Elephas maximus indicus: one gene and its partner. The protein of the gene in region 1 binds, or shares a complex with, the protein of each later gene. Links are inferred from orthologs where the notes say so. Each region holds a gene or a part of one and is shown in the gene's direction. Other genes may lie near its edges.

Region 1 (7,652 bases):
GCTAACAGCTGGAAAAGCTTGGCTGGAAAAATATGGCCTCTTTCCAAATAGTTGCAGCACAGAACCAGGACTGAGATTGGGTCTGGTGCTCATCTCAAAACCAACAGCCACCATGATTGGTCAGGCCTGGGTCATATATGCATCCCTAGAACCAGGAGGTGCAGCAACCCCAGGCATTGAGAGTTGAGGGGGTAGGGCTCCCCAAACAGAAATTTGGTGCTGTTACCAAAAGCAAGGGAGGGGGTGATGGTGAGCTGGCAGGAACCATGGACGCCCCTTAGATTCTCCAGCGGGACCAAGTTTCTTCCTCACCTTCAGCACTTTGCCCACCTCACTGTAATGTTCCGAAACCTCTATCCTCTATGTGGTGGGAAAAAGGAAGGAGTTCATTTCTGGACACCTACTAAGCACTAGGCATTTTTATCCACATTTATCCCATCAAGTCCTTATAACAAAGCCACAAAGGAGGTACTGCTACCCACAGGTTGCAAGAGGAAGCTGAGGCTCAAAGAGAAGTGACTTGCCCAAGGTAACAGGCCAGCAGAGTGGAACCCCTCACAGACACTGATGTTACTCATATCTGTGACTGTCCCCCACCCCTGCGCCTGTGCGATGACCTCTCACTTCTCTGTACTGCTGCACCCCTGCCAGCCCCTACCATGAGACCTGACACACACTAGGAACTTGGGAAATAGGTGTTCAACTGACCTGACTCCAAGCAGGCAGACTGGAGGATGAACGAAGGACGGGGGGGAGCCCCTGGGAGGGGAGGCCCGGGGTCTTCGGAGGCTGTTTGCCAAGGGTGGACACCCCACTCTGCAGTGTAACCTCATGCAGCTGCGCAGCCGGCACCCCCAGGCTGGCGCAGGGTAGCTCTGCTCTGACCTGGCCAGAGGGGAGCCTGCCAAGGGGAGGGGCAGCTAGGCAGATGCTTCCCTCCAGGTCCCTCACGGGGGCTGCAGCTCAGGGAGCCTGGGAGAAAAATTGCATGACCACAGGCTAGCGGACACCTTCACCCGGATCTCCCCAGGCTAGTCTTGATTCTTGGAGAGGAGAGTGCGGACTGTGTGAGCAGAGAGCTCTGGAAACCAGGAGAGAGTGATGCGAGAATAACAACTGCTTCAATTTGTGGGCACTAACTATTTTTTAACTATAGGCCAGGCCCCTTCAGTGCCTTTGTCCCTAACAGTCCTGCAGATGGAATCTTCATGTCCCCATTCGAGGGCATCCAGTCCAGCTCCCCTACTTTACAGGTGAAGAAACAGAGCCTTGGAGGGGGAGTCTTGTCCAAGGTCACACAGACAGCACCAGAGAGCTGGGCATTAAGCCTAAGTCTGACCCCAAAGCCCAGATTTTCCCCATTGCTCCTTCTCCCTGGAACGTTTGCCTCTGTTCTTCTCATCCACCCCCGTCTGTCAGTTTATTGTATTGTCGTGGTGCCTTGCATGTTGCTGTGATGCCAAAAGCTATGCTACCAGTATTTCGAATCCCAGGAGGGTCATCCATGGAGGACAGATTTTAGTGGCACTTCCAGTCTAAGAAAGAGTAGGAAGAAAGGCCTGGCAATGAGCCTATGAATTACAACAGAATATTGCCTGAAAAAAAAAAAAATTTTTTTTTATAGCACTGGAATAAGGTTAGAAGGAACTCAAAATACACGGTGGCTATAACAGCGGACTCGAGCAATCATGAGGGTGGCACAGGACTGGGCAATATTTTGTTCTGTTGTACATAGGGTTGCCATGAGTCGAAGCCAACTTGATGGCAACTAACAACATTCCTCTCATGCCTGGCTCTTCCTCATCTCAGCTTAAACGTCATCTCCTCAGAGAGGCCTTCCCTGAGCAGCCCCTCACCCCTTATTCTGTCTCAGCCTCTTCTGTTCCTTCATAGCACGTTTTACTCTTGGTAGTTAGTGGTATTAACTTGCTTTGCATGTCCGTCTCCTCCACCCCCTGCAAGTATGGTGAGGACAGGACTTGACCCCCACTGGCTCCTCAACTTGTGTCCAGCACATAATAGGTACCTGACCAATGTTTGTTGAGTCAGCACCAACCACCCTCTGTGGGCAAGCGGTGCCCTCCTCCCCAGCAGTCTTGGGGAGAAAAAAATCCCACTGCCCTCGATCTTGTCCCCAAACCTCTCCCCTACCCCGTTCCTGCCACCTGGGGTCTCACCTGCCACAACCCTAATAGAGGACTGGCCCCCCTGGCCCACCAGGCCATCTGAGGGAGAAGAAAGCTGGTCTGAGCCTGGCAGGGAGGGAGGCAGGGAGCAGGACTCTGAGCTGGCAGACAAAGGGCGTGTGTTCTCGCCCAGCCCACTTCCTGGGTTTCCATTGCAGGAACCTTGGCACCTGCCGATCAGTGACACCAACACCCAACACCCGAGCTGGTACAGGAGACCCTTGGCAGGACGCTCCTCTCCACCCAGGAGCAGCAGGGGAGGTGGGATAGGCAGCCGGGGGCAGGACGGCAGGAGAGTGGTGGCGTCTGGGCCCCTGCAGCACCCTGAGACCCTCTCAAGCCAAGCTCAGTCTGGATGTTGGGAGGCCTGCATTCTAGACTGTGTGACCTTGGATAAGGCCCCCAGAAAACCAACCTTTCTGTGCCTCCGTGTCCCCACCTGGGGTGCAGTGAGGTAGCTCAGGGGATACTGTCGGGGTGAAAGATGGCAGCTCCATTTTTATCTGTTTGAAATAAGTTTTCTGGGTCAAATCACTGGAAAAGGGGGTTCTATGGCCAAAAGTGTCTGAAAACCCCTGGATGGTGCCCTTCCCCCTGAAGGCCTTTTCAGCTCTGGCACTGAGTGGCTCCCTCCTTTTTCCTGTGGAGGGCATACGAAGCTCACTCCAAAGAGTGCTGCTAAGTGGGCGCACAGTTGCCACTCTAAGGGACTGAGCCCAAGCAGCCTGAAGTCCGTGTCTCACTCTGCGGGTAGAACTCTAGTCCCGTCTCCAAACCTCTGTAAAGGGTGGCAGTCCTGCCCAGCCCTAGGGCTAGCACAGCAGTGATACCCACTGGTCTGAGGTTGAATCCTGCTCCGCCACTAGCCCTTCGTGTGGCCTTGAGTCTCTCAGGGCCTCAGTGTCCTCATTTGTGACTCAGGACTGATCAGTTCTCCCGCACAAGGCTCTCATGGGGATTCAGTGTAAAAGAGGCACTGTAGGTGACCCACCAGCACAGAAGAAGCCCTATACATGACAGCTACTATTACTGCTGTTTGGAAACCCTGGGTGGCCTAAACAGTTAAGCCCTTAACTACCAGTCCAAAGGCTGGCAGTTTGAACCCACTCAGAGGCGCCTCAGGAGACATGCCCCACAATTTGCTTCCGAAAGGTCACACAGCCTTGAAAACTCTATGTAGCAGTTCTACTCTGAACACAAGGGGTCGCCATGAGTAGAAATCGAGTCTGTGGCAAGTAGCAACAATTACTGCTGTTGTTATTGGGCAGCGGCTGTGAAGATCAAATGAAAAAAGGGGATGAGAAGGGGAACAACGGAGGGGGTCACAAGCAGTGGGTGAGGGATCTAGGAAGGTAAAGGAAGAGAGCATGGGATAGGGTGTCTAGGTACCCGTCTTAGCCCCCAGGAGTGAGTCCCTCAGAGCAGCCCCAGAGCTATCCTGGGGGTGCTGACTGTCCCTGCAGAGCCCGCAGGGGAAAGCCAGCCCTGCCTGGCCTCCCCACAGATGGCTTCAGCCACTGTGGCTTTAATCAAAGGAACAATCTGCCTCTGAATCAGACCCAGATTCCTTTTCCCAGCAATGTTCCTGAGGCCTCTGGGGACCCAGGCGGCCCATCCCAGCTCCATCTCTGGCCCCTCCCCTCTCCATGTCTTATCTACTCCAGCCTGGAGGGGGACAAATTCAGGGGGCAGGAGGGAGGACATCAGTGACAGGCCCAGGCGTGGCAAACCAGGTGACCTGATTGCCAGCTGAGCCCTGTCTCCCAGGCCCGCGGCGCTGGGTGAGGCGTCCCTCCTGGAGAGGCCTGTCCCTCAGGCCACTGGGGCCCACATGTAAAAGGCTTAAGGGGCACAGGACAGCAAACCAAGGTGACTTGCTCCACTGGGGATCTCAGAGACCCCCCCGCAGCCCCCCCCAACACCCCTGAAAAAGCCCAAAGCCCAACATACATCACTCCTTGCTGTCTATATCACCTTTTACCCTCAGGCCTACCTGGAGAGGCAGGCTGTTATCTCCATTTTACAGATGAGGAAACTGAGGCTCAGGGAGGTAGAGTGACTGCCAGCGTCACACCGTTAGTGGGAAGCCATACAACCCAGATCCTCCTGACCCTCCTGACCCTGGGAAACCCCAGCCCAAACCAGGGATATAAGCACCCACCTCCATCTGACAGAACAGGTCGGGCCGCGATCCAGGTGACCTGGGGGAGGGGAGAGTGGAGTAACAACCCCTCAGGGTCCACAAAGGACTTGGGGGGTTGGCCACAGGGAAGGTCTCCTGCCCCCCAGGCCTGGGCCGAGGGGGAAGGGAGGAGTGGTGGAGGGAACAAAGGGAGGGGGAGGGGGGAGGGGGAGGGGGCGGTGCGGGCGCGGCCGGGCAGGTGGGGGCCGCTTCCGCCCGGCGGGGATCCCAGACCCCCTCCCCACAGCGTCACCTTTTATGGTAAGGCGGCGGCGCGGGGCGGGGGGCGGAGGGAGCGAGGGGCGGGGAGGCGGCGGGGCGGGAGTGCGGCGGCTGGTTTCGCCGGCTGGGGCGTCGGAGCAGAGCCCCGGGCGCGGCGGCCCAGGTAAGCGGGTGGGGGGGGGATCCGTCCTCCGTCCCGTCCCTGCCCCGCCACACACAGGTGACAGCGCGGGCAGCCCTTGGCAGGAGCCCACCTCCCCTCCAGCCGGGACCCCAGCCCCGGCGCTCCAGGAGGGGGCCTTCCGTCTCTGCCCTTCGGTCTCTGTCCCCGGAGTGGGGGAGGGGGGCGCAGGTTTGGGGGAGGGCTCACGGCGGGGAGGGTCGTGTCCCTGCCCAGGAGCCGGCGCCAGGAAAGGGGCGCGCAGGGCGGAAGCTCCCGCACAAAGAGCCAGCGTCCCGCACATGGATCGAATTAAAGTCCCTGGCCGGCGCCCCACAGCGACCCGGCCAGCCGCCCTGCCCCGCCGCCTGCGGGAGGCCGCCGGGCTTTCTGGAGCTCCAAGGACTCCGGGCCCCTCTTCCCAGCTGGGGTCAGGCGAAGGGGGGAAGGGGCCCAGGGCAGCCCCTCTCGGGCCTCGGATCCCCGTCGGGGGCTGGGGAGACGAGGGATTGGGCGGCCCCTAAGGTGTGTCCCCTTGGGGTGATCTTCACTTCGATCCTCCCGCATCCCAAATCTGAGGACCCCAGGAAGAGGCTGGGGCAGCGGCTACATTCCTGCTCTTAATAATGGTGGAAACCAGGTCCCAGTTCTCTGGGACCTCCAGCAGAGCCCAGAAACCCTCCACCCCGCCCCAGGCCCTTGAGGTCTGAATAACCAGCTGTCCTCCTTCGCACCTACCAAGCACCAATATCTCGATCACTCACTCCATTTATCCTCTTAGCCACTATTCAAGACAGACCCCTTTATTCTCATTTTATGAAAAAAAAAACAAGGACCAGAGAGGGCCAGTGACCTGCTCAGGGTCACCGAGCAAGAAAGAGGTGGGCACAGTGTGAACCCAGCTCTGAGTGCTTCTCTGGGGTGGGAGAGAGGGAACAGGAACCCCTAACCAGGGCTATAGGCTCCAAATGGGGGGGGGCACAGTCCCACCCCCACCCCCAGCAAAGTTTAATTCAGGACCCAAACACAGGCTACTTTGTGAGGGTGCTAAAGAACAAAGCTTAGAGGTGGTTCTGGGCGCTGGGAGGAAGGCGGACAGCAGAGGGAGGGGGCTCTGCCTGAAGCGCCCCCCTACCAGCCAGTCTGTCCTCGGCCCCGGGGCTGTAGGCTGGGTGGCTGGCTGGATCACAGCCTCCTTCCTTCCTCTTAACAGGAAATGACTCTCCCTCCCTTTGTTCCCACTTTCTTTGCTTACCCAACTGGGTCTTAGATTCACCTTCAGGGAGAGGAAGGTTAGGGATGGAGGATCCCCTGGGCCCTGCTGGCTGGGAGGCTGCCCCACAGGGAACTTACTCCCTCTAGGGTGATCAGGGAGGCAGTGGGCCAAAAGGAAGCTGGGCCTCCCATCCCCTCCTGGGGCCTTACAGGGCTTTGAAAAGCCCCACCCAGCTCAGGCCCTTCCCTTGGGGCCTGGAGTCCCAGCAGTAACCACTAGAAGGGAGGGGGCAGGGGGCTGCCCAGCTGTGCACATCTGGCTCCAGGACTGGAACATTTACCCCCGGAGTCTTCCAAGAAAGCAGGCGACTCAACTTCCCAGAGCGGGTGGGCTGGGGGATAGGGGTCAGAGCAGGGCGAGAAGGACGTGAAAGGGCATCCTGAAGGTCCCCAGCAGTCTCTGGAGACAGCCCAGAATGTGCTCACCACAGGATTTTTGCTCTGGTTTGGATCATTCTGGGGCGAGAACAGGCTGAGAATTTGGGGGCCCTAGCGACGCAGACGGCAGTGGGTTAGTGACATTCAGGGAAGAAAAAGCATGTCTGAGGAAGACGTAGTGTGTCTCCGCGGTCATTCCCTGGACCCTGTGGTCGGATGGTGCTCTGTTAGAATTCCGGGTCTGCCATCGATGGCTGGGACCAATGACTTAATGTCTTGGGGCTTACACTGTAAAATAGCTGTGTTGGGAATTAGGTGAGCTTTGAGGCATGTAAAGCACTCAGCACAGTGCCTGGCACACAGCAAGTATTCTTATCAGTGAGTGCCATTGTTGTTTTTATTATTGTAATCTTGTAGTCACCAAAGAGAGCCCACGAGGGCTGGTGAACTTTGAAAGAGGCCCATGACTGGCAGTTGGACTCCAGGTCCACCATTAGGGTCCTTTGGGGCCATGTCAGGGTGGCATAGCCCGAAAGGGGGAGGTAGAAAAAGGGCATAGTGTTATCCCAGGGCACAAGCCTTGGGTGCCTGGGGAAGCTCCTAAGCTGGTGTGACTGACTCACCCCATCCCAAGGCTCGGCCTTGGTCGCACACTACTGTCTGCAGAAACCACCTGAGAGATGGCAAATGGCCTTCCCCTGACCCTCACTGTGAGCCACCCTGCCCCCACATCTATGATTTGGTGCCTGCATTGTGAGCTGGACTCTGCAGACACAGCTGAAGGCACACACTGTCAGGGGGAGAGGGCAGACACGTGGAGAGTGAGCCAGCATGTCGTGTGACAGGGCTGTCATCACCCTGTGGAGGCAGACAACTGACCTCCCTGGGGAGGTCAGGGATCAGGGGAGCCTTCATGGAGGAGGTGATAAGCTCCTGGGCCTCTAAGGATTAGCCGAAAATTCACCCTGTGGGAGTGGGAAAGGGAAAACAGGTGGCAGAAACACTCAAAGGTAAGTAAGGGAGAAAGGCACCATCGAGGAAGAGTGAGTGGTCTAGGGTGGTCAAAAAGAGGCTGAGGCCAGAGGAATTCGGGCTTTATTCTGATGGTAGTAGGGAGCAATGGAAGGCTTTTGGGTAGAGGTGAAACAGACAGATTTATGCTCTAGAAAGATCACACCAGAGGGAAGTAAGGAGGTGGAATTCAAGACCTTCCAGGGGGCCACTGTGCCTGAACCAGGGCCCTGGTATG
Region 2 (7,716 bases), on another chromosome or scaffold:
AATATCCAAGTTCATTACTTACAAGTTCTACCTTCCACTGAACATAATTCAGTCAAGTTCCTTGCCACCTTATAAAAGCATCACCCTAAAAAAAGAAAAGCACCATCCTTCCTCCATTGTCCAATAACCTGTTCATCATTTCCTTTTAAGGTTTCACCAGAAGTACATTTAACATCCACATTTCTAGCAACATTTTGTTCATAGTGATTGAAGCTTTCTCTAGAGGATTCCTCATTTCTTCTGAGCCCTCATCAGAATTACCCGTAGTGTCCATAATTCTACCAACAGTCTCGTCAAGGCAGTCTAGGCTCTTCCTATGAGGCTCCGAATTTCTCCAGATTCTGTCCATTACCCAATTGCAAAACCATTTCCACATTTTAGGTATTTGTTGAAGCAGTACTCCCACTTACCAATACCAAATTCTGTTTTAGTTGTCCAGTGCTGCTGTAACAGAAATACCACAAGTGGGTGGTTTAAAAGGACAAAAATTTATTTCCTCATGGGTTAGGAAGCTACAAGTCCAAAATCAGGGCACCAGCTCTAGGGTAAGGGCCTCTCTCTGTCCACTTTGGAGGAAAATCCTTGTCTCAGCTTCTCTAGCCCCAGTGCTCTTTGGTTCCTTGGCCATCTCCAGGTGGCATCTATCTTTCCCCTGTTTGTGCTAGCTTCTCTCTGTGTCTAATCTGCTCTTTTTATATCTCAAAAGTCATTAGGTTTAAGACACATTCTACTCTGATATGGCCTCATTAACATAACAAAGAAAACCCTATTCCCAAAAGGAATTGTATCCATAGGTATCTGAGTTAAGATTCCAAAACATAGTTTAGGGGGACACAATCCAATCCATAACACAGAGTGTCGGCAGGAATGTGGCCCTGCCTTTCCCTACATATTTTTCCTTAGAATAGACCTCTTCTTTTTGGAACACTTGCCTTTATGTGAGCATAAGCCCCTCTCTGCTCATGTTAGAACCTCATACTCTTCACTTGGCTTGAACTTCATGCCTTCTGGTCTTGTTGATACACATTGTGTTGAATGTGGAACATTCCCTTGAGCCGGTTTAAGAAAAAAGGGGCGGGATTGATTTTAAGTCGACAGGGGTGCCTCTTAGAAGCCACAGGCAGGCATGTAGCCAGGCCTACAGGTACAGTTGGAACCAAGGACTCCAGACCCCTTCAGGAGCCCCAGTTTCTCACCTCTGCTGTCCCTGCATAATGCTTCCTTTCTTCTCTCTCCCTCAAGACCAGCCCCCTCTGTTTCCCTGGCTCCCCTCCCCCCTTCAATTGCACATGGAAGAGCACCCTGCCTGCCACTCCTGCCAAGGACCAGCTGTTCCTGAGGCCAGTGCACGGTTCTAGAGATCAGTTGTGCTGCTGGCTCTGACTCTGGCAGGTGGAGGGTTAGTACACAGATTCACTAGGGAAGGGAAGAGGTGAGCAGTGTGGGGATTCCGACAGTGGTCTCTACAGGGGCTGTAGAGACAGAGCTGTAAGGGAAGAATTCACCAGGACCCACTTGGTCCCCAAGATACCAGCAGGGGAAGCAAATGACTGTTTTGGAGCACTTACTATATGCCAGGCACTGTGCTAATCATTTTACATGGTATCTCCTTTTATCTTCACACATTAAAAAAAAAAAAGAAATCCCTATAAGAACATTATTAACTCCATTTTATAGATGAGAAAACTGAGTCCCAGACACATTACACTACCTGCCCCAGGCTACAGAGCCAGAAGTGGAGAGGCTGGAATTCAGCCTGTGGATCCTTCTACTCTGCCACACTGTCCCTGGTACCAGGCCCAGGGCCACAGTCAGTGTCATTGATTGGTCAAAGTGCTGGCTGTGAGCTTGGACAGCCCCTGGTTCCAAAAAAGCAGAATTTTCCAACATGGCACATTGGAGCCGCTTACTCAGATTCTACTCAGCCCAAGTTAAATATGGCCAATGTTGTGGCTGACGAGCAATGCCCCTTGATAGGAGAGGCAGGACAGGTGAAAAGCCTGGGCAACCTGGTCTCCTGAGGCAGGTCAGCAGGTAGTGAGTCAGGGTGTTATAAAAGGACTGTGGCAGCCAGCGCAGCCCCAAATTCTTAGCTGACGAAACCCCCTGTAAGTCCCTCTGAGTGCCCCTGCTGGCTGGGGGAGGAACAACACCGTTGGTCCTCCTCAGGGAGGTGGCCTCACTTGGCAGGCCCCAGAACTAGCATTGTGCACTGTCTGTTCAGGCCCACATGGCTGGGCCTGGGGCCTGGGCTCACGGGCTATATTGAGGTCTGAGTCACCAGCCTGTGCCTGGGTCAGGCTGACTGTGACTGGCTGGCTAAGGACTGAGTCAGGCCCCGATTTATCCTGGAGAGCAATGAGGCTCAGGTTTCGGGGGAGTGGAGTGAGAGTGGGTGACAGGAACAATCCCTTGGCACTCTGTATCCTCCTCTGCCACCATCCACTCAGTCCCCTGGGAAGGCACACTGGTCTCTCCTGGAGTAAGATAATGAGTCAGAGCGGGGAGAGTAATGGGAGATTATATGTGGGAATTCTCTCTCTACTCACTTGCTTCTCTCTGAACTTTCCTCATCTCCACGGAGGCCCCCAGTTGACAGGGGACCTCAGGGAATATTCAAACAACAGGAATATGAGCCCTTAGGGCTTGAAAAGGAGCTGTCAGCTTCAGGCAGCCCCTTCTTACCCCTTTCTTCCTCCCCAACAGCTCAGAGAGAGGAATCTAGCCTTTCTCAGATCTGTACCTCAGTTTCTCCATGAGGCCTTCAGAGCTCCTGGCTCCTCAGGTTTGGATGTCAGAAGTCCCCCCTTTTACACATGCACACAGTTCTCTGGAGAAACCCAGCTCTGCCCCCTGAGGAGCTGGGCATCTCTCCACAGGAGAGCTTAGCTTGTCAAGTAGATGTGGAACACCGGTGCCTGATGGGTGGTTTTGGCCATGGGACGAAGGTGGCTTGGGGGAAATGAGAGTTCTGGAGACGCGGAGAGGGTTAGCCAGCAGGAGAGTGGAATTCCTGAGTACCTCGTCACAGGCAGCCGACAGAACATGAGCCACAAGGCCCAAGCTATTTATACCTCTCCTGTCACTATCAGGGCCCCCAGAGCTCCCCACCCCCCAGCCATGTACAGCAGGGCCCTTTTCTGTTTCTGGTCCCTTCTCTACTTCTCCCTTTCATTAAATGAGGAGGCAATCTCATTAAATGAGGAGGACAAGAAATCACTCACGGACACTTTCAATCATACATACTGTCCCCCGTAAAGCCCTTGAACTTCTTTCTCAGCTCCATAAGCCGGACTGACCTCATTCTGCCCTTGGGGATAGAGACCCCAAAGATGCCCACAGTCCCCTTCCTTTTTGCTAGGCCTGGGGGAGGAGAGGAAAAGGGTAGAAAGATTCACCTATGAGGTCCCAGAACCTTCCAAAATCCTCTCCATTGTCATCACATGCCTTGAATTGGGAGCTACCTGGCTTGAAGAAACTGCTCCAGCTCAGACATGGCCTACTACCCAGCTCAGCTTGCTATTGGCGATGTGAGAGTTTGCCTACTTCTTGCACATCCTCTCATTGATACGCCACTCAAAACTTACTGGGTCTGGAAGGATAGGAAAGATGACCTAAAAGGGAGGCCAGGAGACACGGAATACATGTATGCTACAGAATTGCAGGATATAACTTTTCTTCATGTAAATATGTTCTATAGCTCTTTCTTCTCATTCCAGGCCAGCTCGTCTGTTCATGTGCCTCAGTTTCCCTGCCATCGCCACTCCCCAGGCCTCTATCTGCCCTTGGCTCACCCTGGTTGGCTCCCTGGGGTTCTCTGGGCCGACCAGCCCTAGTCACTGTTCCCTCTAGGCTGCTCTGGGCAGGGCTCTCCTTGTTTGTGTCTGGCTAACCCACCCCCTCTCTGGGAGGATCTGCCCAGTGGCCAAAGTGGGCACATTGCCCAGGGGGCTCCCTGGCACTAAGGGGGCACAGTCTGTCCCTCCCCTCTCCTCACACTGGTTGAGTCAGATGGGGGGGGCACATTGTGACTCACTTGGTACCTTTTTCCTGAGCTCAGCTTCATTCTGAGAGGATGAGGCTAAATGGGCTGGTGACAGGCTCACTGAGTCAGGGGCAGCAGCCTCAGTCTTCCCCTGAGACCCTGGGTTTGGGCCCCAAATGAGGCCTTTCCACCTGTAAAGTGGAGCAGTGAGGTCAGGTACCCGGCCCCCCAAGTCTTCTAATTGGCCTGTCCCAGCTTCCTCTCAGTCCATCTCCACACAAGCACACACACTTCCCTTCTCAGCCCACAGGTGGACAATACCCTGGGCTAGGAGCCAGGCCTCCCAGCGCCTGTCAACGGCCCTGCCTCCAACCCGTCCAGAAAACTGTCAAAATTCTCTACGTGTGTCACCTTAACCACTGGCCTCAGTTTCCCCATTTCTCTCTTTAGCCCTGGCGGGGTGTGACGGGAGCATAGTTCATTTCGGACGGTGCTTAGTTTGGGGTGTCGGGGTGCAGCCTTGCCGGCGCTCTCGGCCCCTGGCCCGCAGCCCCGGGCGGGGAGGGGACGGGGAGACGCCGTGGGGGAGGGGAGGAGGCGGGGCCGCCCCCCGCGGCCGGGCGGCATTCCTGGGAGGCCGGCGCTCTGACGTGGCTCGGGGGCCGCGGGCTTCTTAAACCCCCGGGCCCGGCCCGCCGCACTTCCCGAGCACCGCTCCGCCCTCGGAGGGAGAGAGAGACCCGAGCGAGGAGGCCCGCGAGCCGCCCGCCCAGAGAAGTTGCAGAGCGCGCAGCCCAGCCCGCGGTCGCGCCCCCAGCCCGCCGGCCCACCCGAACCCGGCCCGACCCACCCGAACCGGCCGCAGCCCCTGCCCGCCCGGCCGCCAGCATGATGAACAACAGCGGCTACTCGGAGCCCGCGGGCCTCGGCCTGGCCGACGAGGCGGACGAGATGCCGTCCACCGAGAAGGACCTGGCGGAGGACGCGCCGTGGAAGAAGATCCAGCAGAACACGTTCACGCGCTGGTGCAACGAGCATCTCAAGTGCGTGGGCAAGCGCCTCACCGACCTGCAGCGCGACCTCAGCGACGGGCTGCGGCTCATCGCGCTGCTCGAGGTGCTCAGCCAGAAGCGCATGTACCGCAAGTTCCACCCGCGCCCCAACTTCCGCCAGATGAAGCTGGAGAACGTGTCCGTGGCCCTCGAGTTCCTGGAGCGCGAGCACATCAAGCTCGTGTCCATCGGTCAGTGCGGGCGGCGAGGGCACGGCGGGGGGACACGGCGGGGAGGTGTGTGTGTGGCGCGGAGCTGTCCCCCGGGCAGGGGGCACAGGAGCTGGTGGGCGCGGGGAGCAGAGACCTGGGGCAGGGCGGCTGGCAGGGAAATGCCTCTGCCCCGTCTCCCTCACCCTCCCGCTCAGGCCGCTGCGTTCAGGACTCTCAGGACCCTGGGCACCCGCGGCGTTCCCAGCCCTCCAGCACCATACACTCCCACCGACCTGCCTCTATTCATTATCCCTTTCCTTCCTTTGGGCGACTGGGACCCCCCCCCCTTCCCCGGCAAACAAAGCAGGTGGCCTCCCAGCACCTCCACGGGAAGGCGGGGACTGCAGACGGGTCCCCATCAGTGCCCAGATCCACGGGCTCTGAGGCGAGGGGGAGCTGGTGGGCGGCAGGATGTCGTCCAGGCCCACTTCGGGCTTGTGCTCAGCTCAGGTCTCAGGCCCGGGGCCAGGGCAGGCAGGGCCCTGCCTCAAACACCTAAAAAGGCACTGAGCACTGAACAGCGCCGGGAGCTTTAACCCCTGCCTGGCCTCCTCCTGCCCTGGCCCAGGGAGCCGGCTCCAGCCTTGGCCGGCCCCAGCCCATCCCGAAGCTGGGGATTGGCTGCAGCTAACGGTCTGGCCCGGGGAGGGAGGGGAGGCCTGTAAAAGGAGGGAGTCCTTGAGTGTAACCAGATTTGGAAGGTGTGTTGGGACGGGATGGGGGTGGGGAGGTACTCTAAGCTTGGCAGCAGAGAAGTCTAGGGTGGGTTTTGAGTGGCAAGTAGCGCCCCCTGTCCTCCCAGCCCTACAGTCATTTGAGTAGGCCAGGGTCCCGGGAAAGACCCTCACTCCCGGGGTAAACTCTTAAGAGTTCTGCTGTGAATTACATGAAGGGGCCCCATATGGGGCTCCATGTGGGCTTCCCAATGGGCCGGCCAGGTAGCCTAGAACCCCCCACGACTGCCTCAGAGACACCCCCAGATAATGGACTGTCTGTCCACCCCCACTGTCCCTCAGGGCCATCTCTGGTCCTCCTGAATTAGCAGCTGAGGTCAGTTTGGGGCCCTTTGCCCTGTCCAGTCCCCTCCCTTGGCCTTACCCCTCCTGCCCAAATACTGGCCCCCCCCCCCCAGCCCTCACCCCACCGCCTGCTCCAGCCTGGAAATAGCCCTGCCTCCGTGACACAGCAGATGTCTCTGAGCTTTCCAGAAGGACAAGCCTGAGGGCAGGCATGGGGGAGGGGGCTCTGGTGTGTAGTGAGGGGGTGTGGGGGGCTGCAGACTACATGACCGAGTGTGGAGGGAGAGTCAGAGCCTGGCCAGCCCCTGTCACCCCTGCATGCTGAAATTTGAGAGGCAGGACTGACTATCCCAGGTGGGGTCTCCCGGGACAGACAGGCTAGGAAGCCTCTCCACCTCCCTCCCCACTGGTCCCTCTCCAGGCCTCATCCTTCCGGACTGCACCTCTCCCTCCCCCAGAGCGGTGCCTGGCCCCTGGCCCCTTGGCTCTGAGCTGAAGGGGGAGAAGTGAAGGCTGGTCTAGGGGCAGGAGGGAAGCTCCTCCGTCCAGTTGAGAGGAAGGGGAGCTGGTCCCCATTTAGTAGGCCAAGTGGCTCCCTCGAGCTGATGAGATAAGCTGTCAGCAATTCAGCTGCTGGGGCTAAGGCTGGCAGGGAGGGGCCTGCTACAGGGGTGGTAGCCCGAGGTGTGAGGGAACAACCCATGGGAAGTCTGCTTCCCCTGGTTCCCCTCTTCTCATGTTTGGGGGGAAGGGGCTGTTCTGGGGGCCTCTGCCCCAGGCATGGTCTCAGACTGAAGGTGAGCATCTGGGCACCTGAGTGGGGGGCCCTTCTTGGAGAAGAGAAGCTGGGGCCAAGGGGGAGCTGGGAGTGGAGACAGCTACCCGAGGAGAGGTGCTTAGCCTGAGTTGGGGGAGCTCTGGCCCTTTGTGCCCCCTTACCCCGCCCAGGTCCCCTACTGCCCCCTCAGCCCCTCGGAACAAAGAGGCCTATGAGGCAACTCTGTCCCGCAGCTGTTCCCCAGTTGCTATTCCTTCTCCTTGAGCCAACAGCCGAAGGAGGGGCTGGAGGGGGCAGCAGCTGTCCCAGCACCTCCCTCGGCCCAGCCCTCTCTCCTCCTCCCCCTCCACTTGAGGCCTGGGGGCAGGGGCGGCTCAGGGACTGGCTTCTGGCTCCTCCCGCTCCTTTGGGGGTATCCCTAGGCAGGCGAGAAGAGGGCTTGGGGGAGTTATGAGGGAGGAAGCCTGGCTAGAGCTGAGCTCCCCTCCCCAGGCCTCCAAGGGGAAGGAGGGAGAGGAAGGTCACAGCTTCCAGAGTGGGACTCGGCCCCGGCCGCAGTCCCTCCCCCGCCCCAAGCCATGGACCACTTGCTGTCTGGCCCTGGGCCAGTTGCTGGGGAGAAACCTCGCTCTCCAGCAAGTATGAATGATCACCCCACACATCCCCTCCC

The links. The genes of interacting proteins can lie anywhere in the genome.
Region 2: the proteins of FBLIM1 (region 1) and FLNC are in contact, whole or in part, in an NMR structure (PDB 2K9U), measured with the Homo sapiens proteins. The link is inferred for Elephas maximus indicus from reciprocal best matches to the Homo sapiens genes FBLIM1 and FLNC. Residues at the interface, in NP_001337080.1 of Homo sapiens: Arg8, Val9, Ala10, Ser11, Ser12, Val13, Phe14, Ile15, Thr16, Leu17, Pro19; in NP_001449.3 of Homo sapiens: Thr2339, Ala2344, Gly2345, Gly2346, Leu2347, Ser2348, Ile2349, Ala2350, Val2351, Glu2352, Gly2353, Pro2354, Ser2355, Lys2356, Ile2359, Phe2361, Asp2380, Glu2382, Phe2387.

What each region holds. Positions count from the first base shown.
Region 1 is NC_064821.1:55,496,007-55,503,658, forward strand, and holds the start of FBLIM1 (filamin-binding LIM protein 1), read left to right. Parts: upstream 1-4,560; 5' UTR 4,561-4,629; intron 4,630-4,677; exon of another isoform or gene 4,678-4,753; intron 4,754-7,652. UniProt on the Homo sapiens protein: Serves as an anchoring site for cell-ECM adhesion proteins and filamin-containing actin filaments. Is implicated in cell shape modulation (spreading) and motility.
Region 2 is NC_064826.1:21,238,045-21,245,760, reverse strand, and holds the start of FLNC (filamin-C), read left to right. Parts: upstream 1-4,679; 5' UTR 4,680-4,873; coding exon 4,874-5,228; intron 5,229-7,716.